Lytechinus pictus: one gene and its partners. The protein of the gene in region 4 purifies or fractionates together with the protein of the main gene of each other region. This does not show direct contact. Links are inferred from orthologs where the notes say so. Each region holds a gene or a part of one and is shown on either strand. Other genes may lie near its edges.

Evidence for each region.
Region 1: the proteins of exocyst complex component 1-like (region 4) and exocyst complex component 3-like purify together in Homo sapiens (affinity purification with mass spectrometry; 5 studies listed by BioGRID and IntAct, counting the BioPlex papers as one, with this or other methods). This does not show direct contact. The link is inferred for Lytechinus pictus from reciprocal best matches to the Homo sapiens genes EXOC1 and EXOC3.
Region 2: the proteins of exocyst complex component 1-like (region 4) and exocyst complex component 8-like purify together in Homo sapiens (affinity purification with mass spectrometry; 3 studies listed by BioGRID and IntAct, counting the BioPlex papers as one, with this or other methods). This does not show direct contact. The link is inferred for Lytechinus pictus from reciprocal best matches to the Homo sapiens genes EXOC1 and EXOC8.
Region 3: the proteins of exocyst complex component 1-like (region 4) and exocyst complex component 5-like purify together in Homo sapiens (affinity purification with mass spectrometry; 4 studies listed by BioGRID and IntAct, counting the BioPlex papers as one, with this or other methods). This does not show direct contact. The link is inferred for Lytechinus pictus from reciprocal best matches to the Homo sapiens genes EXOC1 and EXOC5.

The regions. Positions count from the first base shown.
Region 1 is NC_087245.1:22,445,532-22,453,134, reverse strand, and holds the start of exocyst complex component 3-like, read right to left. Parts: upstream 3,024-7,603; 5' UTR 2,894-3,023; coding exon 2,816-2,893; intron 1-2,815. UniProt on the Homo sapiens protein: Component of the exocyst complex involved in the docking of exocytic vesicles with fusion sites on the plasma membrane.
Region 2 is NC_087258.1:23,503,487-23,511,291, forward strand, and holds the start of exocyst complex component 8-like, read right to left. Parts: upstream 3,014-7,805; 5' UTR 2,948-3,013; coding exon 2,893-2,947; intron 1-2,892. UniProt on the Homo sapiens protein: Component of the exocyst complex involved in the docking of exocytic vesicles with fusion sites on the plasma membrane.
Region 3 is NC_087251.1:13,168,598-13,176,464, reverse strand, and holds the start of exocyst complex component 5-like, read right to left. Parts: upstream 3,008-7,867; 5' UTR 2,876-3,007; coding exon 2,852-2,875; intron 1-2,851. Other genes in the region: neurofilament medium polypeptide-like, read right to left, coding at 6,135-6,701, 7,056-7,280, 7,618-7,764. UniProt on the Homo sapiens protein: Component of the exocyst complex involved in the docking of exocytic vesicles with fusion sites on the plasma membrane.
Region 4 is NC_087249.1:53,894,424-53,901,327, reverse strand, and holds the start of exocyst complex component 1-like, read right to left. Parts: upstream 3,005-6,904; 5' UTR 2,952-3,004; intron 1-2,951.

The DNA of each region.
Region 1 (7,603 bases), on a different chromosome or scaffold from region 4:
TTTCTTCAGTCCGGAGCAGGTGTGAAATAATTTGTCTGCTGATAGACTGAAGGTACATGTATGTACATTAAAACCCATTTCATTTTTCTGAGAAAATGACATTTTTCAATTCACGATACATGGGAATCTGCTCACATATGATATCACAAATAAAAAATTCTAATAAATTTTTAAATCTTTGATTGATTTTCCCCAAACCTTCACCAATATTTTTCATTACTTCTTTCTGTTATATTCACAATAAACTTTTTGTTGGGTGAACCTCCCCTTTAAAGCGACCTTTCATTGACAAATAATGGGGAAATCAAGGCTAATCTCAGAACAGAGAAGGAATTCAAGCCTTTCACTTGGCTGCATGCCTGGGAGTTTTATGTAATAGACGCCGTTATGTCTGGGAGGTCGACTGTATAGCTGAGCAATAGTTAGTAGACTAACCGACCAGACGTAAACTGCGTGTTTTCACTTTGAAACATGTAATTTCACAGAGGTTATTAGCAATCAAGAGACCTGCTAAGAGTCTAGGAATTGGGATTGTTGGAAACTAGAACTGCGATGACCCGAAGTAACGATCGCGAGTTCGGTCAAATTTAAGCTGTCCTGACTTTTACACATTAGTCCGATTGGCTCTCATGACCGACGGATTATCTTATGTAAGTCAACTGGCCTTTTGCAAATTTCGTATTGATTCAATTTCCCCCTGATTTGTCAATTGCAACGTTACGCGACGCTCGCGTCCGTAACGTTGGGGAAGTACAATAAGAAACAAGATGGCGGCGTAAACATCGGGCAAGTCTCTTCCGTCTTTTCACGATATTTTTCTCATTTTTTTTATGAATTCTTGTTTAAAAATAACAACGAGAGCGTAGAAATGTCGGAAATGAAGTTTTATCCCATGTACATGATTTAGAGCTAGATCTTTTAGAAGGAAAGTAGAAATCTCGGGGGTGAAAGTTTCAGGTTTTGGGGTCCTTCGTGTAGGTGAATAGGAAGGACTCCCTGGCTTCATTGAGAGTAAGCCTACGTTAGTAAATGATTTTTACTCTCAAGAAGCCGCCTGGCTAAGTCAGACTCACTGATCTGTGATTCGTGCTGGATGGCAACACTGAGGGAAAAACAAAGATGAAACACTGTCTCCAAAGTTACGGACGCTAGCGTCGCGTAACGTTGGGGAAGTACAATAAGAAACAAGATGGCGGTGTAAACATCGGGCAAGTCTCTTCCGTCTTTTCACAATATTTTATTCATTTTTTCATGAATTCTTGTTTAAAAATAAAACCGAGAGCGTAGAAATGTCGGAAATGAAGTTTTATCCCATGTACATGATTTATGGCTAGATGTTTTAGAAGGAAAGTAGAAATCTTGGGGGCGAAAGTTTCAGATTTTTTGGCGGTACACGCAGATGAATAGGAAGGAGTCCCTGGCTTCATTGAGAGTAAGCATACGTTAGTAAATGATTTTTACTCTCAAGAAGCCTCCTGGCTACCCAAGACTACCCCAGGCTACCTTGGCTCAGGCCTGGATTTTGAAATTAAAAAAGAGCCCTGGCCCACTCACACTATTGCGAGGTTAGTATATATGCTTTACGAACCTCGCACAACCAACGTGTTTTTGTAGTGGATTTTAGAGTTGTCGTTAACATCGCTTCATAACGTGAATGATATTAGCCGAAACCATTCCGCTACTCACCAGGGCTTTTTCTGGTAGAAAGCGTTCCTTTATCAATTTTTAACATATTTTTTAATTTTAAAAAAAAAAAGAGCAAAATCGCTTACCTCCGCCTGGAAAGTGGCTTCGCACGTCTCTTCCACGGAAATAAAAGGAAGGTCGTTGGTGGCGCTAATACAGTTCGCAACCTTAATTCAGCTTGGTGGTATTTTTTAAACTAGATTCATGATTTATTGTATGCGCAATTCCAATAATTGTTTGATAAAATAGAGACCCCAATAAATGCAATAACTTAAAAAACATACTTTTTTATTATTTTTGCTGACGATAATACTTTTTGGAAAATATTCAAAACGATGACAAATTAAACAAAAAATGTAGAAAATTCTATGTACCTTGAACAAAGCCCCGCAAGTGCTACCGTTCGTTTGTCAATTAACGTTCCACCAAAGTCTTTACAGTAAAAAGATTGGAAACTTTGCCGACTTCGCGTAATGCTTTGCATCGATTTACGTGTAAGATAATTTCTGTGTCTAGTCTTTCAATTGTAGTGTCTTTGATATGAAGATAAATCGCGCGCCCTCTCTCGCTCATTAGACGAAAAATTTGAGAGCTAGAAAGGTGGCTTTCGTATTTTGTCAACGAGAAGAAAAATCAACGCTTGAGTTAAATGACACATTTTGAGGGATATTCATCAAATTATGAGGAATTGACTTCACATCGTTTTGTAAGTTTCGTAGGAGGACTTCATTCTGTAAGTCCTCGTATTAATTTTTCATAAATTAACGTTATTTGTTGAAATAATGCGCCGTGCCTTCAATTATTCTGTAGTCGGCAGCTGAGATGTAGCCGTGGGTGCCCTGGCCTGGAAAATCCCAGTTTTTTAATTGCCATATGTGGAGAAATCATCGTAAAATTGTATATATTATAAAGGATAATCCTACTTTTCAGACCAACGCCATAACTGCTACCCTTGTTTACAACGTGGCACAACCAATGCAAAATATCCAGCGACTAAGCTCATGTGCATTTAGCACTATGCTATCACGAAAATGTGTCAGAAGACTATGCGACCAGTGCACACAAGAATCGCGTGCGCCTGTGATACCTGTGTGCCGATTATGGCTGATACAAAGTTTTCGTGTCTCACCTTTAACATGTTTTCAACACGTTTAGAAGCCGATTCAATGGCATCTATTTCAGCCTTTCCAAAGTCCTCACCAAGCATGATGAATATAGATAAAAATGATAAAAACTGAGAAGAATGACCGCCAGAAATACCCTTTTTATTAGGGTAAATTTACTCGACCCCAAAATTAAAATAGTACACACCCCGATATGGTATCGTAAAAACAGCCTAGTTCGAGAAAAAAAAATGGGGAATAGGGGTAAAAAAATTAGTACATGAGCATTTTTGTATGTTTTGTATTTTCGCTGATATGTTGATTTTCTTTTAGTTCGTGTAGCTGAAAGAAAATTTTACCAAAAGGAAAAAAGAAAAGCTGAATTTTATTGCATTTCATGTACAATCAAATTACCTAATAATATACTAGTAGTCATCAATTACCCGATGACTGGGGTAGAGGTCGATCATATTTTGGGGGCGAGAAACTGGACAAATACAACAATCGGTTGCTTCATATATATATTTTTTACAGTCATTTACAATATTCACTTATGCTCTTCAAACACAGTGACGAATAAGTATCAAAATAAAGGGTAATTATCATGCTTCAAAGTGACTTTATTTTGAAAATAAAAAATCGTTACAGAAAACACTCAGGCGTGTCCTAAGGCCCCTCTCTCTCTCTCTCAAACTGTCAATTTATAAAGTCAAATGAGGGTTTTGCCATTTGTTTTTTATTATTATCATTTTATCATTATCTTAATCCCTCTTGGCTTGAGGTCTTTTACTGGCCTTACTTACACTAACTTCCCTTTGTGTCTGCCTACTCCTTTTCTTTCATCCCCTTCACTAACCTGATTGGTCTTCTCTACTCACTAATGCCCCTTTTGTCTCCTTGTTTCTAGTGTTGCTGTAGCTTGTTTGTGGTCTATATTATGGTTGTTCCACTTTATATGTTTGTCATTTTGCCTCCGACGAAGATTCTGCTAGGATCGAAAGCTTAGGCCCCTTTTTTACTTTCTAATTCGTTTTTTAGGGTTGACTCTGTGCGTTTCATAATATTTCATTGGTTTTTAGTAAAGAATCTTTTAATATTAATTGATCATTAAACAACAAAAATCACTTCTGAAGCAAACTAAGATACCCTGGTGGTGAAATAATTGAGAATTTTCATATTTTCAAAACTTACTGGTCAAAGGTTTAATGTCTCTTTTTTTTTTTTTTTTTTTTCTTCTTACATTTTATCTTTGATAATTCAATTATACCATTCAAAATGATCCTGAAGTTAAAGGGGAATCCAACCCAAATAAAAACTTGTTTTTATAAGAAAAAGAAAAATCAGACAAGTTGATAGGTGAAAGTTTGAACAATATTGGACAAACAACAAGAAAGTTATGAATTTTTAAAAGTTGTAAATATTGGTAATCACTATACCCATGGAGACTTCAAATTGGCCGCATATGGGATGTCATAGTGATGTAAGGCAAGGACTACTCTTCCATGTACTCCAATACATATTATGGCTAAAATGTCATTTTCCCCAAAAGTTTTATTTCAAATTATATTTTTCTTTCATGAGGACATAAAACAATATACTACCTGGATTATAATTAGATTACTGCCCCAGGGGAATGGGTACGTAGAAGAAAACCACAAATCCCTGATAATAAAGTACATGGCTTATGGGAAAGTTGTCCTTGCCCCTTGTCATAATTTACTTACCCAGTTGCCAATTTGAAATCTACATACTATTAGTGATCTCAATTTTAAAGCAGCTATAATTTTCTTATTGCTTGTCCGATTTCTTTCAAACTTTCGCCATTCTGTTTAATTTATTTTTTTCCTTTCCAACACAACATTTTATGGCCAAAGCTGGATTTCCCTTTAAGCATATCGTTTCGGTGAACAAAAATAATAAAAGAGAAAACAATTGTGATAATTGAAATCGAGATGAGACCACAGACATAGAGGACAAGCACATAATACCTTGTAAACAAAAAATGCCATTTCTGTATATATGATTTGATTCTCGATGAGTGTGGGCCTAAATTATTTTTCTTTACAAATGTAAAAATAAATGAATTTGAAATTTGAATTTGAAGTTGATTTCGGAATTTGAAACTATGAATATAAGCCATAACTGCAGGCCTATCACCTATGTGCCAAATATAAAAAAAAACCAATGTCTCACCTTACCTCACTTTCCTTATATTAGAAGTACAGTGGGAGGAGTATTAGAAGGAGTAATAGTAGCAACAGCAGTAGTAGTAGTCAGTGGCGGACCGTGACCCGGAGGAGACAAAGCATTGGAGGGGCACAGCATTGTTCACAAACAATTCAGTGCCCCCCCCCCCCAATGCCTTGTCTCCTCCGGGTCACGGTCCGCCACTGGTAGTAGTAGTAGTAGTAGTAGTAGTAGTAGTAGTAGTAGTAGTAGTAGTAGTAGTAGTAGTAGTAGTAGTAGTAGTAGTAGTAGTAGTAGTAGTAGAAGAAGTAGTAGTATTAGTAGTAGTAGTATAGTAGTAGTAGTAGAAGTAGTAGTAGTAGTATAGTAGTAGTAGTAGTAGTAGTAGTAGTAGTAGTAGTAGTAGTAGTAGTAGTAGTAGTAGTAGTAGTAGTAGTAGTAGTAGTAGTAGTAGTGGTGGTGGTGGTGGTGGTGGTGGTGGTGGTGGTGGTGGTGGTGGTGGTGGTGGTGGTGGTGGTAGTAGTAGTAGTGGTGGTGGTGGTGGTGGTGGTATAGTGCTAGTAGTGGTGGTAGTAGTGGTAGTATAGTATTGGTAGAAGTAGTAGTAGTAGTAGTAGTAGTAGTAGTAGTAGTAGTAGTAGTAGTAGTAGTAGTAGTAGTAGTAGTAGTAGTAGTAGTAGTAGTAGTAGGTATAGTAGTAGTAGTAGTAAGACTACTGTAGTTGTAATAGTAGCCACGGGAGAAGCCAGTAGCAGCAGAAGTATATCTTGATCTCTAATAACAAATTTTACAGAGTAATAGAATAAAATAAAATAGAAAAAAACCTTATGATATTTAGGGACAACTAAAAATTGTTAATAATCAATGGATAGGCGAGTTATGCAGGGGCCACGAAAGCGGGGGTTGGAGCCGGGGGATTAACACCTCTCCCCCACCCCCCCCCCCCCCCTCCGTCCCCGCCCACCAATTTTCAAATTCAGATTTTATACGATACATGTTCAGCCCCCTTATACTTCCTCAAGTCGTTCCATATAGCCCACCACCCATGTTTTGATAAAATCATTTGTATCATGCTTTAATCATTGACAAGAGATATTTCTCTTATTTATGAAGCTAATTTAATCCCGCAAGCTATATCATATCGATATAGCGCCATCATAAAGGCGAAATGTTTCTTTACACTTATTGATGCCCAATTAATCATGGGAACAGAAAAAATATCAGGCAGTACAGAACAACAGAAGTAAGATAAAATAAAGGATATTTCCAAAAATAAACACCGCAATGATTTAGTTTTAAGATTACCAATGTCTATTTTCAACAGTTATTGAAATTCAGTCGAAAATAGTCCATGATATGCGGTTTAGGCCTAGTCTTCGCCAAAAAAATTGTATATCGTTTTCAAAATATCTGCCTATAAACGATAATTTATCTACTCCTTTGTCATAATATAAAAATAATCACTTCCTAATATTAAATATTATCTGTAAAGTCGTTCATATATCGGTATGAAATTATGTGATACAGCATAGGCGGATCCAAGGGGACCTGAGGGGCCACCCCCCCCCCCCCCCCCCCCCCCATGGGCGGAGCAAAAACAATGACAAAAAGGGGGGAAGAAAGAAAAAAAAGAAGGGGAAAGAAAGGAGGAATACGAGTGAATAAAATAAGGTGATGGGAAGACTTGGATAATGTTTAAAAATATCTTTCATGTCACTGCATTAAATTTTCGCTCGCGCTTCGCGCTCGCATTGCCTGTTTGATGAGATATATATCTTGCTCAATATGTAGCTTAAAATATCAAGTTTTGAAGCCAATATGCAAAACATATTTCAGCTCGGACATCTAGCTTTCATTATTTTGTTTGATTTACAAATTGATTTTTTTACGTGCTTTTTAAAATGTCCGTTTTATAGTGTGAATATCAACATTCTCAGCTTGCGCTGTGCGCTCGCGTGATTTGATTTGCCAAGTAGGACTACCTATTGTCGTGTCTTCCATAAGTTCTCAAAATATCATTTTACGGATGTCTGATTGTCAAAAACTTTGGTCAAAACGTAGCACTATGAGCGTAGCGCTGTGTGCTCGCATTTTGATTGATGGGTTATATGTACCTCTATATTAATTCTATAACAAACTACTTAAAACCCCCTTTTTATGACAGTTATTTATCAAAGATTTCGGCTCGCGATTTGCGCTCACATTAATTGTTAAAATTATATCAAAACCCATGATTCCTATCCTATTCATGATTAAAAAAGTACCTAAAATATTCAGTTTTCAAGCCTCAATGTCAACAAATTTCACGCACTAATTAGGCTTTTTAGATTGATAGATATGATAATTTTTTAATGAATTGCTAATAACTAAATTGTCCCTCTTTCAGAAAGCATCAAATATCGACAAATTTTATCGTGCTTAGGAAGAGGAATAGGAAGATAGTCATCATTTTCATATGATGACAAAATGACAAAAGGCCTCGAATGTCCTGGTCCTAGGTCAAAATAATAATAAAAATATCAGCTCGCATCATTTATTAAGTGTTATCCACTTCATAATTCCCCTATACAGTGATTTGTGTGAAAAGCTTTGCATTTGTTCAGTAATCATATTTGCATCCGTATGAT
Region 2 (7,805 bases), on a different chromosome or scaffold from region 4:
GAGTTAGTTCCAATCTTACAATTTTTTACCGTTTCACGAAGGGCTTCCTAACTAGTATCCCTTGATATCGATAATATCGGTAGAAAGAGCAGACGAGACGTAGCCTTAGTCATAAAATAGCATTATTTTTTAAAGCAAAAATACGATAAAACTGCAATTATTGTGATTAATTTGGAAATACATCTAATCAAAATGATAGCAGAGGCAAAATATGTACCATGCATACTTAAACCATGAAGACTGGAGCATTCAATTGCTGAGAAAATGAAATTATGAATAATTCATTTAATGACTAAAAAATCACATGTGGACATTGAGATGGGTATCCCCGGGATACTAAATTTTGATAGCTTACGAAAGTAAACAACAATTGTTTTCTTTGTAAAATAATAATAATTATACGTTTATTTATGGTTCCAAACATCATCAAAATATAGTTTAACATATAAATTTTTATAATTTTATATACCGAAACACACGATTTGACAAATTCTTTGCATAAATTAGAGATAGAATTTATCAAAATGTTGATAAGGGTCTGAAAACAACGAATACGAGTCCAGTTATGGATGACCTGACATGGTAGAATCTTTATCGATTCAATTATTTTACTTTTTCAAAATGAATGGTTTTGTTGCGTTTTACCAACAGTTTTTAAACTTTCTGTGCATTACAATTATTATTGTCTTGAATGATCTACATGTATCTCACCTGTTTTGCAATGTAATTTCAACTTCTATGAATGATTACGTAAGATTATAATTTTCAAATTTCGAGGCACTTTTGCCTGTCATAGTCTACCCACGTGATGTCACTATGTCATTACGAAATAAGTTATGACAGGTTCGGAGGTGTCATAAATATTTAGTGAGGTTGTTGTCCCCGATCTTGGCAAAGAGGGCTTCGTGAAACGGTTAGCGGACAAGTAGCTCACTATCTTCGATTTAGTCAAGAAGTTAGACTTAGACTTATGACGGTGTTGAGAAACGGGCCCCAGGGCCAGGCCAGGTGCTTAACCTGGTCCATGTTATGTTAACTGGGACCAGCCAGACTGGGTGTCCGATATTAGGGCACTTTACTCTACTTCTTCACAAATAAATTAAAAATCAATTAATAATACTTCGAGCCACTCCAAACGTAGCATACTCCACTCCTAGTACCAATGAGGTCCAAACATTAGCATGTATGGACCTCATAGGCGACAATGCGTTAAAAACAGGTTAGAACTTCTAACCGTACTGTTTCCTGCACCCAAGTATGATATTACTCCCAAAATATGAGTTTTGTCCTCGTTTGTTTATCATTTATTAAAAGATTGCCCATTGAATATATTCCTATTCCTAATTTGAATTTAATAAAATAAAGGGAAACTTACATTTGAGTCATTTTTCGATCTTTTTTTGGCAGTCAGTCCGGTCACCGTCGAGTGCGATCAAAGCGGTATGAAGCTGATTTTCAGATCACGTGATACGTTAACCCAGAGAGCTCCCGCCCGTGCAGCGGGCGGGAGCCCAGAAGCTTACCGTGTATTTTACCATTGCCACCGGACTAGGGTGATTTATGGTCTAAATATTTCTCCAAATGAATTGTGAAAACGGAAAGTATACAATTACCACGATTATATGGATGAAGGTCCAACGAGTGGCAGATTCCTGACATCTGGGCACAGTCTGGAACCTCAAAAAAACGAAAAGTTCTCTCCTTCTACCCCGTCTCGATCGGCCATTTTGTTAAAAATCGTAACAAAATGGCCGATCGAGACTGGGTAGAAGGAGAGAACTTTTCGTTTTTTTGAGGTTCCAGACTGTGCCCAGATGTCAGGAATCTGCCACTCGTTAGACCTTCATCCATATAATCGTGGTAATTGTATACTTTCCGTTTTCACAATTCATTTGGAGAAATATTTAGACCATAAATCACCCTAGTCCGGTGGCAATGGTAAAATACACGGTAAGCTTCTGGGCTCCCGCCCGCTGCGCGGGCGGGAGCTCTCTGGGTTAGTGATACGTGTGGTCATCACCTGATCAATCGACTATCCTTTTTTAAAGACCGCAACAATTATAAATTTTATTATAAAATATATATAGAATAAATTATTGCATAATATTATGTATATTTCTACAATTAAAAAATATTTTGTGATATAAATTTAATATTTGACGTAAAAATCGCTATTGAACAAAATATTTATTAAAAAATAAAAAATCAAACAAAATAAAAAAGCCTTGGACACAGTGCAAAAAACCTAACGATTTGGCCGCGTTGTTAACAACTATCGTAAGGGGCGCTTTATTTATAAATAAAAAAAAATGTACAGCTGTCTACCGCGACGTGGTTTGTCGCAAGATTTGGGACAAATCCGTGGGAATTCTGGAGAAAATACATCAAAAGAACTGGTGAGTACCGTTTAAACATTATCAAATTACTAAATAGATTATACATAGGCCTACCTTGTAGATTTAGTTTTTAATTTAAGGTGATATTAGTGCTTAGTTCTAAGCTAGGGAGGCCCAAACGCGCGTGAGCGGAGTCCCACTTTATTAACACGGGTAAGTATTGCGGTGTCGCCTAGAGTGGCATACTCTTCAAGTTAGCTTGATGTGCCAATCGCGGTATTTTGCTGACTGAACTATACAGATCGGTGCAACTCAGCTCACGGATCCGGCGATTTAGCTCATGTAGTATTATAATGCATACGTCATGGAAACATGATATCGCCTATTCACTTGCATTCATTAAAAATTGCACACGACAGAAACTGTAATGCCGTCTCCTCTGTGCTAGACCGAGTTTGAGGTGGAGTCACTCATTCATTCTTTTTATTTGAGTACCAAACCAAGATCATCCGAGCGAAAAGGTAACCTAATTTACCGATTAATACGTTATACTTACATTCGTCTGCGTTGAAATTATCTTTCGACAATTTGTTGACAATTTGTTCTGCCATCTTCCTCCTTACCCCCTTTTTAGGGCCGGACAAGTATGTATGTTACATGTACCGGTAGTCTTTATCACGCAAACACTAAATTGTTAGACCTTTTTTTAATTATGCTGATCAGATATAAAAAAATATATATTTAAACTAAATATAAAAAATACAGTACTCTAGATCTACTCGTAATTCAAATTCGATAGAATCTTAGTATTTGATATAATTTTCCATTTGACTCCTTTAGTATTTGCATTTTATTTCTTACAAAAAGGGAAACAGTATAGATAGCTAGACTACTAATTATTATTGACTTCCCTTTGGCCTTTGTTGTCCCGACGAAGCCTATGTCAAGTGAGCCAACAATAAGCCAGCCAACAGCAAGCCAGCCAACAGTTCCAGCCAACAATATCGCGATATAAGATAGATCAGATACAGGATTTTGCGCACGAAGAGAGGCGTGCATTCTTGTACAAATCAAACAAACGGGGTCAGGGCTACACGGACCTAATCACTAGTGGCAGGCCATAGATATTCATTCGAGCCAAAAATCAACGGGCTAGTGTTTTAGTTTTAGTAGCCCACACCCCTATATACTCTATGTGTTTTCGTATATTGAGGAGTAAATTTCAACTAAAAGTCCTCTTTATAAAATACAATTGGAAGATTGCTCCTGAAATATATTTTGGGTGTGTGTAGGGGGGTTTCCCTTCTTTCAATTTGTAAAGAAAAACAACAGGCTAGTGTTTTAGTTTTAGTAGCCCACACCCCTATATACTCTATGTGTTTTCGTATATTGAGGAGTAAATTTCAACTAAAAGTCCTCTTTATAAAATACAATTGGAAGATTGCTCCTGAAATATATTTTGGGTGTGTGTAGGGGGGTTTCCCTTCTTTCAATTTGTAAAGAAAAACAACGGGCTAGTGCTTTAGTTTTAGTAGCCCACACCCCTATATACTCTATGTGTTTTCGTATATTGAGGAGTAAATTTCAACTAAAAGTCCTCTTTATAAAATACAATTGGAAGATTGCTCCTGAAATATATTTTGGGTGTGTGTAGGGGGGTTTCCCTTCTTTCAATTTGTAAAGAAAAACAACGGGCTAGTGCTTTAGTTTTAGTAGCCCACACCCCTATATACTCTATGTGTTTTCGTATATTGAGGAGTAAATTTCAACTAAAAGTCCTCTTTATAAAATACAATTGGAAGATTGCTCCTGAAACATATTTTGGGTGTGTGTAGGGGGGTTTCCCTTCTTTCAATTTGTAAAGAAAAACAACAGGCTAGTGTTTTAGTTTTAGTAGCCCACACTCCTATATACTCTATGTGTTTTCGTATATTGAGGAGTAAATTTCAACTAAAAGTCCTCTTTATAAAATACAATTGGAAGATTGCTCCTGAAATATATTTTGGGTGTGTGTAGGGGGGTTTCCCTTCTTTCAATTTGTAAAGAAAAACAACAGGCTAGTGTTTTAGTTTTAGTAGCCCACACCCCTATATACTCTATGTGTTTTCGTATATTGAGGAGTAAATTTCAACTAAAAGTCCTCTTTATAAAATACAATTGGAAGATTGCTCCTGAAATATATTTTGGGTGTGTGTAGGGGGGTTTCCCTTCTTTCAATTTGTAAAGAAAAACAACGGGCTAGTGTTTTAGTTTTAGTAGCCCACACCCCTATATACTCTATGTGTTTTCGTATATTGAGGAGTAAATTTCAACTAAAAGTCCTCTTTATAAAATACAATTGGAAGATTGCTCCTGAAATATATTTTGGGTGTGTGTAGGGGGGTTTCCCTTCTTTCAATTTGTAAAGAAAAACAACGGGCTAGTGCTTTAGTTTTAGTAGCCCACACCCCTATATACTCTATGTGTTTTCGTATATTGAGGAGTAAATTTCAACTAAAAGTCCTCTTTATAAAATACAATTGGAAGATTGCTCCTGAAACATATTTTGGGTGTGTGTAGGGGGGTTTCCCTTCTTTCAATTTGTAAAGAAAAACAACAGGCTAGTGTTTTAGTTTTAGTAGCCAAATTGAAAGAAGGGAAACCCCCCTACACACACCCAAAATATATTTCAGGAGCAATCTTTCAATTGTATTTTATAAAGAGGACTTTTTGTTGAAAATTACTCCTCAATATACATAAAAACATAGAGTATATAGGGGTAAGGGCTACTAAAACTAAAGCACTAGCCCGTTGTTTTTCTTTACAAATTGAAAGAAGGGAAACCCCCCTCTACACACCCAAAATATATTTCAGGAGCAATCTTCCAATTGTATTTATAAAGAGGACTTTTTGTTGAAATTTACTCCTCAATATACGAAAAAACATAGAGTATATAGGGGTGTGGGCTACTAAAACTAAAGCACTAGCCCGTTGTTTTTCTTTACAAATTGAAATAAGGGAAACCCCCCTACACACACCCAAAATATATTTCAGGAGCAATCTTCCAATTGTATTTAATAAAGAGGACTTTTAGTTGAAATTTATTCCTCAATATATATAAAAACGTGGAATATATAGGAATGTATATGAGCGTGGGCTACTAAAACGAAGGCACTAGCCCCTTGTTTTTCTTTACAAATTGAAAGAAGGGAAACCCCCCTCTACACACCCAAAATATATTTCAGGAGCAATCTTCCAATTGTATTTTATAAAGAGGACTTTTAGTTCAAATTTACTCCTCAATATATATAAAAACGTGGAATATATAGGGGTGTGGGCTACTAAAATTAAAGCACTAGCCCGTTGTGTTTCTTCACAAATTGAAAGAAGGGAAACCCCCCTACACACACCCAAAATAAATTTCAGGAGCAATCTTCCAATTGTATTTTATAAAGAGGACTTTTAGTTCAAATTTATTCCTCAATATATATAAAAACGTGGAATATATAGGAATGTATATGAGCGTGGGCTACTAAAACGAAGGCACTAGCCCCTTGTTTTTCTTTACAAATTGAAAGAAGGGAAACCCCCCTCCACACACCAAAAATATATTTCAGGAGCAATCTTCGAATTGTGTTTTATAAAGAGGACGTTTGGTTGAAATTTACTCCTCAATACACGAAAAAACATAGAGTATATAGGGGTGTGGGCTACTAAAACTAAAGCACTAGCCCATTGTTTTTCTTTACAAATTGAAAGAAGGGAAACCCCCCTACACACACCCAAAATATATTTCAGGAGCAATCTTCCAATTGTAGTTTATAAAGAGGACTTTAGTTGAAATTTACTCCTCAATATACGAAAACACATAGAGTATATAGGGGTGTGGGCTACTAAAATTAAAGCACTAGCCCGTTGTTTTTCTTTACAAATTGAAAGAAGGGAAACCCCACCCTGACCCCGTTTGTTTGATTTGTACAAGAATGCACGCTTCTCTTCGTGCGCAAAATCCTGTATCTGATCTATCTTACATCGCGATATTGTTGGCTGGAACTGTTGGCTGGCTTGCTGTACTTGTTGGCTAGCTTATTGTTGGCTGACTCTACTCCGGCCCCGACGAAATACGCTGTATTCGGCACACTTTTTAGCCGGCCCATTGTGAATAGAACTAAAAGAAAGAGGGAAAATCAAGAATAGAGATTGGGTGAGAACTTGAAATTATCTCTTTTACCTTAACCTTTCACTGTTAAAATCTTAAAATTTGCCCAAAACATAAAAATTACTTCAAATAATCGATCACGTGTAGGCGAAGATCTCGGCGTGTGCGATTTTTAGGCACTAATGTAGCATTTGAATTTCACGTTTTCATGTTCGAGGTGTTGTGATTACATATGAGCTTAATTGACGGGTAAATCATGCAGGTGATTCAGCACATCATTACGCGAGTTGAGTGTTTGTGTGTTGGGGGGGGGGGGGGTGTTTGTCTGTACTCCTTTGATGGTAAGTTGTACTTGTAGATTCCCTTCCTCTGAGGTGCGGAGATCGGTGGAAAACCGCAGTTGGTTGTAAATAGGCATCGTCATTCACCACAAGATGGCGCTCTCGCGCTCGTACTATATTTTGTACGTAGTGTGCGGAGGATTTTGCTGCAGCCGCGGTGCTTCTCTAGCTATCGGTGATTCGACATGTGCGAATTGATACCATTCTCATTTAAAAGTGATTGGGTCGTTTTCCAAAATCTCGGCATATCATTAACCTAAACTATTTTCTCTTTCGTGCGATATGCAGTTTTCCATGTTTACATTGATCCAACCCCTCGCGAGCGACTCAACCCGACAAGGTAAGTCAAAATTTCTTCACTTTTCTCACTAAGTTTGTGTAATTTGTACACTTATCCATATCTGGCAACATTTGGCAATTAAAAGACTGTATTAGAAAGAATTCAGAAATGTTTTTTGGTTTTTTGAAACCAAAATCAATCGTACTCACCAATGCTCACTGATTGCTCGTTCTGCATGAAAAAGGGCCTGTATCGACCAAATTATGAAAATTTCGCCCCCCGTCGGAGGGCGCGAACAGATTTCGCGTTGGCTGCCGTGTTGCTCGCTATGGATTTTGTGTAGTTAACGACTCCAATTGACAATGCACGGTACGCGAGTACCAACTATTAGTCTCATCATGAATGTTTCATTTTTTATGTATAATTAAATCAGCACTTAAAATAAATAAATGAAGGAAGTCCCTATTTGATTATTATGGCTTTATGATCATGCAATATTCTAAAAAAATTAATTAGACTTGTTGATTTGTATAAACTATAATTTCTCTAACTGTAACTTGTAAGTGAGTGTACATGTAAGTTAACTCTGTTTTGAAGGCGGGGCCGGGGGGGGGGGGGTGTTCTGTGGTGCCACCTCACCCATCCTGTTTCCAGACCCAGGTTAAATGTTATCATGCATAGAATCTACTAGATCTATAGCTCTTTTTTTT
Region 3 (7,867 bases), on a different chromosome or scaffold from region 4:
ACATATATTGTGACCAAATGACCGCAAACGATCGCAAGAGCGATTGTGAAAGCCCCTTTAAGGACATAGGTATATAAACATTCATGGTAGTGGGTCACCTGCACACACTTTATCTCAATCTCAGAACTATAACTTTTCCAGGCATGTTTATAGCGATCTGACTGATATCTTCTTGACGAGAACATCTACCAGGCTAAATGGAAAGTAAGGTTGTATTTGAATTTTTTCTTTTACTCTCCAAAGGCCAGTAGTCTTAAGATGATAGAGATGAGCTGGCCCTGAATACTAAAACTTCTAAGGCACGAGAGTGAAGACACCAGTGTTTAAGCTCTGAACATTAGCTATTTGGCTGCTACTGCATTATATAGATAAATAATGGTAGTAAAATACGAGCTGTGATTGGCTAGATTGGTGCCACGTGATCTCATTTCAAAAAGTTGTACAATATAACTTTTTATTTTTGGAGGGTAAACCCTGTGTTAAATGATTGGGGAGAATATCGATTAATGGTAATGTGCATTTATCCGGTTAGCCCTGCGCGTCTGCATTTACTAAGAGCATGCAATGCATTGAATCTTAATTTTTATAGTGACGTCACCTTTTCCTGACCCAAGCAAGAGTGTACCTTATGGACAGTAGGGGAGACCGGGGTTAGTTGGAACGCGGGGTAAGTTGAAACATTGTAATTTTCTTTAACATCTTTAAATAAATTTCTGCAATACTGCCCTCAATTTATTGTCATTATCAACAGCCATCCACCATATTACAGACAACACGTGTGCAACAAGCCTGGTGAAATTAGAAAGGAATTTTTGTTTTTTGACCTTCTGAGTAATTTTTTTCTCTTTCAGAAATGTTTTATTATCTCAGAGAAGTTTATAGATCAAGTTGGCCAGTTTGGGGGTATAATAGACTCTTGTACCAAGCTACAAAATAAGGAAGCAGAATCTTGTATCCTTATTTTAGACATAATAATATAGGATTTGTATAGCGCACATATCCACCTTGCTAGGTGCTCAAGGCACTCCTATATTACCCCGGCTAAGCTAGTCTACTGATTCTGGTGCGCACAGCTTTTTGAGGAATTACTTCTTGCCGGTACCCATTAACCTCACCTGGGCCGTGTGCAGCACAGTGTGGATAAATTTCTTGCTGAAGGAAAACACGTCATGGCTACGATTCGAACCCACAAACTTCTGTTTGAAAGGTGAGAGTCAGAACCACTAGACCATGACGTGCCCACTGCATAAACTGCACATTAACTTGGCCACATTTTGGGAAGGTTAGTAAGATAATTTTCTTCACTTGATAAAGAGTTGCAGCGGCACTCGAAAGCTCGTGAACTTGTAAGCTAGTGAACACTTTTTGCGAGAGTGATCACAAATTTCCTAGAAAGCTAGTGAACACTTTTTGCGAGAGTGATCACAAATTTGTTGACCATAGTAGATTGCGAGACAAATGAATACCCTCTAGCGATCGATTAAGAACATTATTATTCACTTGTACACAACCACCCATGGGTGCATTACTGCCGCCGTGTACAGGAAAATTGAAGGCACGGCGCATGCAAAATTGCAACAAACTCCCGCAAATTTCATAAGAGGATTTACAGAATCAAGTCCTCCTACGAAACTTACCAAACGATGTAAAGTCAATTCCCCCTAATATGATGAATATCCCTCAAATAGCGTCATTTAAGAGTATAATTTTCTTCTCGTTGACAAAATACGGAGCGAGCTTGCGATTTCCCAAATTTGCGTCTAATGAGCTAAAGAGGTCGCACGATTTATCTTCATATCAAAGACACTACAAGGGAAAGACTAAGCACAAAAACTATTTTACACGTAAATCGATGCAAAGCGTTACACAAAGTAAGTCGGCAAAGTGTCCAATCTTTTTACTGTAAAGACTTTGGTAGAACGTTAATGACAAACGAATGGTAGCACTTGCGGGGCTTCATTCAAGGTACATAGAATTTTCTATATTTTTTGTTTAATTGTCGCTTTGAATATTTTCCAAAAAGTATTATCGTCAGCAAAATAATATAAAAAGTATGTTTTATAAGTTATTGCATTTATTGAATATTGGTGTCTCTATTTTATCAAACAATCATTGGAATTGCGCATATACAATGAATCAAGAATCTAGTCTAAAAAATGCCGCCAAGCTGAATTAAGGTTGTGAATTGTACTAGCGCCACCAACGACCTTCCTTTTATTTCCGTCGAAGAGACACGCGAAGCCACTTTCCAGGCCGAGGTAAGCAATTTTGCTCTTTTTTATTTTAAAATTGAAAATGGAACACTTTTCACCAGAAAAAGCCCTGGTGAGTAACGCCAACGGAATGAGTTTCGGCTCACATTATTTGTGTTAAACTGTTATGAAGCAATGTTAACCGACAACTAAAAAATCCACTGCGTAGACACGAATCGTAGTGCATGGAACCTCGCAATACTTGTTAGTGAATAGTGGTATGGTACACAACTGTCTTCACAAGTGCTTGCGTACAAATGGACAAGAGGTTCCCTAAACAATTAAGCCAAAATTAAATTACTCCCAAATTGTTGTTAACTAAGTTTGGAGTGTTTGGGCATTCTAATTCTGACTCGATTAGTAATTAGTTAGGCCTATAGTCTTATGCTATTAGTTACCATGATACAGTCCACTGACTGGATCACCAAACTCACTGTCACTGTTTCATTCATTAGATACGACGGTACCTTATTCATTTCAATCATATTGATTACAAACAACAAAAAAACGTCACACTGACAGACTTCACTGTTCGGAACTCGAACCTAGAAATGCAAGACAAATATTATACTTTTTACTTCATCAAAAGGTCAACTTACAGCAAATTCTTTTAAAGAAGACATCTTCTTTTAGATTTAACAAGTTAGAGGTAAGACGAAGAATTAATGATGTTTTCAACGACTGATTTTCGCGTCTGCTTCTCACTCCCAAATGCAAGCAGAATCCCGGAAGACATTTTATGCGAGGGGAGCACTATAATTATAAAGCTTTGCCCAAAAGAGGGAGACACTACTGATTACTGTGAGTCGAGGTCAAGTGGTCTGTCTGATCCTTTCATGCCCCCGGGTTCAGACCTAGTATATTTATTCGGGATTTATCTACAAATTAGGATACCCTGTGGTATAGTGTGCCCATAATTCATGGCCCTGGGAAGCGGGGGTGCGGGGGTGAAGCACCCCCAAGATTTTCGTAAGGGGTGCTGGGTGTTTTATTCTCCATACATGTAGGAAGCACCCCCGGGAGGGCGTTTCATGAAAGTACTTGTCGGACGTTTTATCCGACAAGTCCCATTTTATCCGACAGTTACCATAGTAACAGTACCTCTCAGCCAATCAACATCAGAGAAAGATGTCAGATCTGACAACTTGTCGGATGAAAATGTTGATGAAACACTCCCCAGGAATTCTGGTAGGTGTGGAAAAATAATTAGTAGTGAGCCCCCGGCCCCCTTTTTTTTTTTTTTTTGCTTGTCAAATTTCTCTTGGACAAAATGACCTTCATGTTGTCGAGAAGCCTTTATTTTTTCTTTTTTTTAATTGCTTTTCAAATTCTCTGGACCTAGATGATCTTTCCAGGAGAATTGGTAGTCTAAAGAAAAAGAAGGAATAATTTATGTTTTTCATTTAATTTGTAGTGAAAACCCTTTTTGTTTTTATTTTTTTCCTTGTCAAATTTCTGTGCGACAAAATGACCTTCGTTTTGTTATATAACTTTTTTTTCAAATTTACATCGACACCCCTAGTAAAAAAATCATTCCCAGGGCCCTGCCATAATTCATTACTGAGAATAAGCATATTTTAAATGACCCTTTTTACCACCTTGACTCGTACAGGCCTATTATACATGCTGCCTTATAGACCCGTCTCTCTCTGTTAGTGTCCGTCTCTTTCTCAATTAGCCATTTCCCTCTAGTTTTCTTCTCTAGCTGTAGCCCCCCCCCCCTGTCGATGTCCTTCTGTCTTTCTAGATTTTTCTCTATGCATTCATCTGCACCCTTCCTCTATAAACCTCACTACCTATCCCCCCCTTCTCTAATTTATAGAATAAAACAAAGTAATAAAAGAATATATAAGCATGAAAGTTTCTACCATATTTTTATTGATATTGATCAAACATGTGGACTATCTACCAAGTATACATGTACATTCTAAAAAAAAGTATACATGTACATATACATACATATTTATGTACTTATATACTGTACTTGGTAGATAGTCCACATGTTGTTTCTCTCCCCCCCCCCCTCTCTCTCTCTCTCTCTGACTCTTTCACACTTTTCATATAAATATTTGCTGTTTTAGTTGTCATGCAACTAGCTCATCATCAATGAAACACTAACATTTTTTTTATTCATGTTGTTTATTTACAAAGTACAATAAGTTAAAATTCAAAGTTCATGTAGTATGATACAACATTACAAAATTGTGATCAAAGCATAACATACATTATCAAATTAGATTTGATTTGAAATAATTTGAAAAATGGCCATGATCATGATGAGTGTATAAGGCAATAAAAATATATCATCAATTTCAAATTGGTGCATGTGTAAATTTTCATGTACAAAATATAAATTTGCATCACAGTTTAACATAGTGATACATGACAGTGTATACTCCATATCAACAGTTTTTACAAATAAAAATCACATTTCTGGCAGATCATAAAAATACTTTGTATTTCATGAGTTAAGGACACTTGAATCATATTGACGACTTGTATGACAATCATACAGAATTTCTAGATAAAGCTTAACTTTATCAAGAATTACATACGGATTACAAGTTGTATTATTCAAGATCCCAAATCAAATACTATCTTTAAAATGTATCTATTTGTGACATAAAAAAAAAAGATTCTGAATATATAGGCCTAAAGGCTTTAAATCTCTTTTATTGATATCCAATGATGAAGACAGGTTGAAAGTCTACACTCTAAATTTCATGTATTAAAAATAAATCCAGATGTCGGGTGTAGGTGAGTTTTGAACAATGACAAGCTGCTGCTTGGATCCAGGCGAGGCATTTTTATTTTTAAATTGAGACATGCCTCTACAAGAAAATTAATTTTGGAATCCCTCTGTTATTATTTTCAAGATCTGTTATTTTTTTACTAAATCCAATAATGGATATATTGTCTTTAGAAAATTAATTTGTCATAATGCACAAAATAACAACAAATATGCATTCATAGAACAGAAAGCAATATATATAAACATCATAACTCTATGGAGATGGTCAAGATGAATATGTGAAAAATTAAAAAATATATGCATCTAACAAAATTCAGAAAGGTATCTATTTGCACTACCCATAATGAATGAAGGAGGGAAAGAGAGAGAGTAAGAGTAAGAGAAAGATATAAACATATTTTCTTTGAGTGAATAAGTAAAATCACAACATAATAACTAGAATCACTTGTAAGATATATATCTGACGGATTAATATCTGTGCATTGTATACATCTTTACAACACAATTACTCAAAACAGGAGGATATGGATAATCATATCTATCATTTAGGTTAAACATACAAGGATATTGTTAACCTGAACACAGATTCTTGTCCAAGAATCAGCAATTGTTTGAGGTTTTTATACTGTATTATGATATTCAAATATCAATCCGAACTAAGAAAGGCTAGATAGGTAATATTTTGTCAATCAAAGGCAGATGTAATGGCACTTTGTAAAAAAAAAAAAAAAAACCCAAAGCATGCTGATTGGTTGAATTGATAAGGCATAGTATTGCTTGGGTTAATAGACCTCTTATCTCAAAATCACTTATTTATTGTGAAGAAACAGATGACCAACTGAACACCAAAAGATATATACTGTCTAAGGTCTCTCTCTCTATCTTACAAAATGAAGCTACAACATCACCCCAAAGAAACAACTCGTTATTTCTGGTGTTATGGCATCAATGCTTTGTAACTTTCTTGAATATTTCAATTTTGAGTTACATAGTTTGTCATTTCAGGAGCAATACACCTCTCTGAAAGTTACGTCACTCAGCAACACATATATTCTAGATGGTGAATTATGGCTGTGATGGCTTTCCATAGTTTTTTTTAATAAATAATTTCCAATTCTTTATGCAGCTCATCATGATAAAGTTCCTTGCTCTTGATCCTCGTTGGGTTTCATCTCAATCTCCTTTCCATATTCTTCCACTTTACCTTCTTCCTCCTTCACCTCTTCTTTCACTTCACTCTCTGCTGACATGTCCTCCGATGTTGGTTCTGTACCACTCAGAGACTTCATCTCTGCTTCGGACTTCTCCTCCGTTTTTTCCTCTTTCTCCATCCCATCTTTGTTATCACTTTCATCTTCATCCTTCTCACCCTCTTCATTCTCAGGAGTCTCTTTCTCTGCAGATGCCTCTCCTTGGGCCTCCTTATCCTTCTCCATTTTCTTTTCCTCCATCTTCTTCTCTTCCTTCTCTTCATCCATCTTGGCTTGATCTTCCTTTTCAGTAGTTGATTTCTCCTCCACCTTCTTCTTGGTCGGTGGTTGTGCTTTTGAGGTTTCTTTTGAGGGTTGGGCTGGTTTGGGTGGAGTCGCCTTTCGTGGGGGTGTGGTGGTTTTCCTGCTGATGGCCGACGCCCCTACTCCAGTCTTGGTTCCAGGAGCTTGTCTGGACTTTCCAGAATTTCCAGGAGAGTTGGTAGTCTAAAGAAAAAGAGGGAATATTTTATGTTTATCATGATTATGATTTAAAAGAGATGGAACTAGACAGCTTCAATATTAAGCTCACAAGGTTAATTTTTGTAATAATCTGATACAGAAAATCATCAATTTAAATGAAATAAAAAGCTTTCATATACCAATCATGTAGTAACCTTCACAATAATTATTATGGAATGGTATTTAAGGAGTATGAATAATAGAATTACAATTTGATATTTTCATGAAAGAAGATTAATTAGTATTTTTTCACATCCACCTGTCTATTTGCAGGAAAGTAAAAAGTTTTATTCACTACAGGTTTAGAAAAAATACCTTTTTAATAGACTAATTAATTACCTGTTTAGACTTTGCTCCTGCTGATCTGTTTGGAGATCCTGGAGTACCCTTTCTGGCGTCATTGCTCTTTAGGGTACTCTTCACCAGGGGGTTACTGGCAGGTACCTTGGCACCGGTGTTAGGTGTAGGGTGCTTCAAGGGCCTCTGCTGGGAAGGTTTAGGAGGTCCACCAGCCTGCTTTTCAGCTTCTTGTGAGTCAGATCCTCCTGGCTCCTCTTCTTTAGTCTAAAATGATTTAAATTTCAAATAGCTTTGGATCAAGTTCTATAATCACATTTCTGCATTAAACAGAATAAGAATAAAGTAATGTAGCATTGCTGGGGTTACAACACTTGTTATCTTTAATTAAAAAAAAAGGACATTTAAATTAATGAAGTCTAGTAAATATTGTTTTTTCTTGAAATAAATGAGGCCACATACTGCATCAGGTCAAAAGTGTTTATAAGAACACCAGTCAGTGTTATGAGAGACCCACACTTTTAGGTGTTAAAATATACCATGGAGTTTGGGCATATATATGTCGAAAATCACTTCTTATACTGGTAGAGAGAATAGAGCTTACTTGGTCTTGTTTTTGGAATGCTCCATGGACCTGGACCATCTGGACCAGGGCCATCTTGAAGGAGGCTTTGCACTTCTGTTCAATTGCTTCCATCAGGGTCTGCTGATATAGCTTCTTGTAACTCCGCCTGATGTATGGAAGGTCAAGCTGCACAATGAAAAGAAATTTATAAAAATCAGTATCATTTTCTCTAACTATGGGCTGCCATTAACACCATAAATTGCATCCATCGGGGTCTGTTTATAAAGCA
Region 4 (6,904 bases):
TAATATTCAGATCTTCAAACTTGACATTTTCCTATCCCCTTCATCATCCCCTCTCCTTCTCCCTTTCCCCATTTTCGTTCTCCCTTCTTTTCTTTTCTTCTCTCCCTTCCCTTTTTCGCTTTTCCTTTCCCTTCTTTTCTTTCCTTTCTCCCTCTCCTACTCTTTTCTCGCTCTTTCCATTTTTCTTTCCCTCTCCCTTCCCCTCTTCCTTTCTTTTGTTTTCTTTCTATTTTATGGTCTCCTTTTCCCTCTCTCTCCTTTACCTTCCCCCCTCCCCTGATCTGTCTTTTCTTGTCTCTCCTTCCCTTTCCCGCCCCCTCCATTCCCTTTCTCGCTTTTTCCTTTCTCTTCTTTTCTTTCCTTTCTCCCTCCCCTACTCTTTTCTCGCTCTTTCCATTTTTCTTTCCCTCTCCCTTCCCCTCTTCCTTTCTTTTGTTTTCTTTCTATTTTATGGTCTCCTTTTCCCTCTCTCTCCTCTACCTTTCCCCCTCCCCTGATCTGTCTTTTATTGTCTCTCCTTTCCTTTCCCGCCCCCCCCCCATTCCCTTTCTCGCTTTTTCCTTTCCCTTCTTTTCTTTCCTTTCTCCCTCCCCTACTCTTTTCTCGCTCTTTCCATTTTTCTTTCCCTCTCCCTTCCCCTCTTCCTTTCCTTTGTTTTCTTTCTATTTTATGGTCTCCTTTTCCCTCTCTCTCCTCTACCTTTCCCCCTCCCCTTTTCCTTTCCCTCTCCTTTTTTGTGCAAACATTAACACGAACATCTTGCTTCCTACACACACACACAAACGCCCGCAATCTAACACACGTAATGCGAAACAATCGGGACATTATCATTTTGTTCATATATATATATGTATATTTTCTCAATGAACATTTTCATCTATTTAAAGCTTTGAAAATTATTAAACAATGATTCCATAGGCGAAATCTCAATGATCATTAGGAAGGTACTTTACCCATTTTCATTTTATGTCATTGTGATTATTCCAGACTAAGGCAACATATTTTGGATATAAAAATACGTGAAGGATATGTTCCTCTTCTGTTTTATACTTTAACAGAAAACATTTTGTTCAACCAAATTATGATTTGTATTTCCAAGTTCCATGTAATATTTTCATTGGAAAATCTCTTAAAGGTCAAGTGCACCCCAGAAAAGATTGCAACCTGTTGATTTTTGGTACAATTTCCTATTATGCGCCGACGACTTGAATCGAGAATGTTCGATAGGAAAATTTCGCATTTCGATTGTTGTTTGCGTAATTTCCACCGCAGTATGAGGATGACTAAGGACGGATCGAACGAAGTATCCTGGTTGAGATTTGGAGGTAAGCGACAAAAACACTTTAATAAATAATTTATAATTCCTTTTTCAAATAAACTTAAATCATACGATCAAGATTAACATAGTGGACAAATAGGCGCTAGTGTAGTTTCGCACCTCCCCGTTTAATGGTTTTCAAACATGTACAATCTCACCCTAAATAATTCACAACCTAAATACTTGCATCTGAGCCTCCAAAGTCCAGTAGAAGTTAAATATTTGCCGCTTTGACACTTTTTTTTACAAAGTTTTACACCTATTTCGGAATCACTCGGTCGCTTGAAGCTCAGCGCTGCACATAGGCAGTCGGTACGCGTACAGTACGTACCACCTAGGCCTAGTGAAGTGCAAGAAGAGCGAGTTTTTCTATGGTATCTTCAAAAAGATTTTTTTCCCCTCTTTCAGCTTGCACCAAGTATTACGGTAGTGGTTGTGCAGAGTGGTTGATGTTTGTTGTGTGAAGGTGTGTGTGGGGTGTGCGTGTGTGTTTGCTTGTTTGAATGAAATAAGAAATGTGAAAAACCACTACCGTAATCACTAGCGTACCTACGGGGGGGGGGCAGGGGGGGCACTCTGCCCCCCCCTGACGAGTCACAACCCATGCAAAAACGTATCTTTGCCCCCCCCTGACGGACTTGAAAAAACCTTTTTTGGCCCCCCTGACGAGCTTGAAGACCTCTTTTTTTTTTTTTTTTTTTTTTTTTTTTTTTTTGCTTGTCAATTTTTTTTCTGGTACGAAATCCTTTATTTGTGATCGAAGACCTTTTTTTTTTTTTTTGCTTGTCAAATTTTTTGGGGTACGAAATCCTTTATTTGCGATCGAAGACCTTTTTTTTTTTTTTTTTTTTTTTTTTTGCTTGTCAATTTTTTTGGCGGACGGTTTTGCCCCCCCTGTGGAAAATCCTAGGTACGCCACTGACCGTAATACTTGGTGCAAGCTGAAAGAGGGGAAAAAATCTTTTTGAAGATACCATAGAAAAACTCGCTCTTCTTGCACTAGGTGGTACGTACTGTACGCGTATCGACTGCTTATGTGCAGCGCTGAGCTTGATCAAGCGACCGAGTGATTCCGAAATAGGTGTAAAACTTTGTAAAAAAGTGTCAAAACGGCAAATATTCAACTTCTACTGGACTTTGGAGGCTCAGATGCAAGTATTTTAGGTTGTAAATTATTTAGGGTGAGATTGTACATGTTTGAAAACCATTAATTAAAACGGGGAGGTGCGAAACTACACTAGCGCCGACAAATATTGAAAGGTTTGGCGTAGTTTAGTCCCTCACATTCGTGTGATGAATGAAAACGTCAAAATGCACTATGAAATCACATGTGTTGTGCGAGGTTAGTATACTAACCTCGCATGTTGTGTGAGTGGAAGCCGCCTGGCTACAGGGCCCCAGGCCCAGCCAGCCGAGCCCGTAACTTCACCGGCCCTGGCCGGCCCGCGTTATACCTCTCTTCGCTGTTATTAACACGGGCTAAATTAAGTTCGTATTCAACAGTATCTAGCGCGCAAATTTGTTCCACGAAATCCTCATATTACCTGCAAGCACATAAATAATTATAATTCCATGTGGCACCTATAATCATCTTATATTTATCAAAGAAATACTGATTAATTTCAGTGTTTACCTGGCTTACTTGGATGCAGGAAGTTCGAAGGAAACCGTACACTGACTTCCGCTGCGCTGCGCGCGCGCGCTGGGTCGATAGCCGAGCGCGCGTACACGTTGGATCGATACGGGTGATGTGATGGAGGGGATGATAATGATGATGATGCCCGGTGCCCGGTGATGATGATGATGATGATGGTGATGGTAATGATGATGATGATGATGATGATGATGATGGTGATGACGATGATGATGATGATGACGATGATGATGATGATGAAGATGATGATGATGGTGATGATGATGATGACGATGATGATGATGATGATGATGATGATGATGATGATGATGATGATGATGATGATGATGATGATGATGATGATGATGATGATGATGATGATGCATGATGATTATGATTATGATGATGGGGATGATGAACCAGGATAATAATGTCAATCCCGGTCATGATTTCTGAAGAGGTACCGATATATGGATAATGCTGGTTATGATATAATGATGAATACGGGGGTGACGATGTTGAGGGTGATGGATATGGTGTGGTGACGGTGGTGGCCAGTGCTGCTGATTCCTAGCACTGCTGTTGCATGCTGCCTCTGATGATGATAATGACACTGTTTTTCATAACATTGAAAGTAATATCTAGAGCAGGATGTTAAACTTTGGTATAAAATGTTTTATTTAAATGTTAGTAGTTTTGAGTTTCAATATATTCAGTAGTTTCAATATATTGTCTACTCTATCCACTAGCGTACCTACGGAGGGGGCAGGGGAGCAGTCTGCCCCCCCCCCTGACGATCCACAACCCATGCAAAGGACGTATCCCTGCCCCCCCTGACGAGCTTGAAAGACCTTTTTTGCCCCCCTGACGAGCTTGAAGACCTTTATTGCCCCCCCCCCCCCTCGCTGACGAGCTTGAAGACCTTTTTTTTTTTTTTTTTGCTTGTCAATTTTTTTTCTGGTAGGAAATCCTTTAATTGTGATTGAAGACCTTTTTTTTTTTTTTTTTGCTTGTCAAATTTTTTGGCGGACGGTTTTGCCTCCCCTGTGGAAAATCCTAGGTACGCCACTGCCTCTATCATTATCATAATCATAGTGTTGTTTCTATATAGGCTATCTTTGATTTTTAATATCATTCATGAACAATTAAGCGCAAGCTTATGTTTTTCATACAGGCCCTACTGACCAAATAAATGAACATTTTAGGTGACTGTTATATTTTGTGAAAACATGGGTGGATTGATGAGTTCCCTTTTCTTATTATGTTATTACATGAAATCATAATTATTTTATCAGTTTTTCATGCATGTGTGAATGATTATAATAAAATAAGTAAACTAGCAGCAATAATGTCTCAGGCCTGGAATATCTCATGCATTAAAGCAGTTGTCAAACCATTATTTTAGTTCTTGGAGGAAAAAATAACAAAGACAAAAGGCAAGTGGGATGTGATTAATTTACTCATTGAATATTCATGAAGTCAAGCATAAATTACTGTTTCACTGAAATAATGCAATTTTTTAAAGTGTCATAACTTTGTTATTCCTTCTCCGATTTAAATCAAATTTTCAATGTTCAAATTGTATTAATTTAGCCTGGAGTAACCCTTTACAAGCACTGTTTGTATCATGAACAGCACACGTATCCGAAATGCGAGCATTCAGTTTATATGACATATACAAAGATAAATTTTAAGGATTTTTTTTAGAAATTCATGAAGAGGAAAGTTTTCTGACCAATGAAAATGCGAGCGAGCAGCTCAAGCTGACTTTTTTCTCTTCAAATCTAAAAATTTGATAAATAATTGACTGTTTTAGGACTTCTACAGCGCGTCCCCAAAAATGTCCCTCTGACATAGGGCTGAATTAATTCTAAAATGTGGTAGTATTCTCAAAAAAATGTTCATGAGTAGAGCTCACTTCATGATCTAACTTCTATGAAAATTTCATTGGTTGCGCTTCAGCGGTTTTGAATACTGTTATACGTAACAGTGGTGCATTTTAGCCCATTCCAAGTTTGCAGCATTGATGCATTTCTGTATTGTCTATGGCATATTAACCCATCACATTCTTACATCCAGGATCTGAGCAGGGACATTTCCCTAATCATATCCAGGCTCATTAAATCATAAACTTTGGTATGTTCAGAAGAAAAGAAACATAAAAAAAAATTAAGCTTGTTTGATGATTGATAAGGGGAATCAGTGCACCAACTTGGAAAGAAAATGTGAATGATGGATGAGTAATATAAGCTGAAAAATAAATGGGAATCCACAAGTTAATCACCCTTTGCGAAAAGGAACTATACCAGAGAACAATTTGACTTTTTTTTCTTTTAAAAAGTTACATCGAATTAAATTGACCACAGTAGCTTATTAAAGGGATGGTCCGGGCTGAAAGTATGAATAACTTAATAAATAGAGTAGAATTCATTGAGCAAAATGCCGAAAATTTCATCAAAATCGGATAACAAATAACAAAGTTATTGAATTTTAAAGTTTAGCAATATTTTGTGAAAACAGTCGTCATGAATATTCATTAGGTGGGCTGATGATGTCACATCTCCACTTGTTCTTTTGTATTTTATTATATGAAATTAGGTTTATTCAAATTTTTTCCTCCAAGAACTAGAAAAATTGGATTGACAACTGATTTAGTGCATTATATATTTATTGCTGCAACTTATTTCATTATAAGGGAGACATATCATTCACACAAGTATGAAATAATGAAAAAATTATGATTTTATGTAATAACATAAGAAAACGGAAAGTGGAGATGTGACATCATCAGCCCACCTAATGAATATTCATGACGACTGTTTTCACAAAATATTGCTAAACTTTAAACTTCAATAACTTTATTATTTGTTATCCGTTTTCGATGAAATTTTCGGCATTTTGCTCAGTGAATTCTACTCTATGTATTAAGATATAAATATTTTCAGCCCGGACCATCCCTTTAAGTAAAAATAAGTAATAAAAACAAAAATGCAGTATTATAGGCATGAAACAGACATGACCCGTTGTATTAATCATTGTGCATCTCTTAATTGTTATCAAACGTGAAATGAACTGTCAAATATTGTTTTTGCCCTTCTGAACATGCTCAAGGTTGTGATTTGATGAGCCTGATTAGATGATGGACATTTCCCTGGTCAGATCAGGGAATTCCTTGGTCAGAATGGTCGAAGGGGGCTGATATGATATGTGCAGAACACACAGCAGTGCTGCAGGCATGCAAACTTGCAATGGACTAAAATGCACCACTGTTACATCATAGAGCTCTATGGTTACATAATAGACTGTGTATTCAAAATTACTGAAGCGAGACCAATGAAATTTTTATAGAAGTTAGAACATGATATGGGCTTCCTAGTTTCATACATTTCACTGAGAATAATTTTTATTTTTTGAAGTAATTTAGCCGCATATCAGAGGGACATTTTTTTGGGACGCGCTGTAAGGTGTGTAACTAAATGAGAGCCCGCAGCGCGAGCGAATTTTAATTCAGATCTGAACAGGGGCGGCGGAACCAGGGGGCAGGGGACAAGTGCCCCCAAAAAATTCTCCGTAGAAAAAAATCCCTTTTTTCAAACTAATGGAAAATGCCCTTTTTCAAAATGAAATGTGCCCTTTTAAAAATGAAATACCCTTTTTGAAGCAAAACAGCAAAGAGTTATGGTGGTAATTCAACAAATACCCCAACATGGCCAAAGTCCATTGACCTTTGACCTTGGTCATGTGACCTGAAACTCGCACAAGATGTTCAGTGATTCACTGAATATCTTGTGCGAGTTTCAGGTCACATGACCAATTAAGGTCAAAGGTCAATGGACTTTGGCCATGTTGGGGGTATTTCTTGAATTACCATCATATATCTGTAAGTGTATTGATCTAGTTCATAAAACATGAACATAAGAGTAACCAAGTATCACTGACTTGGTTACTCTTAT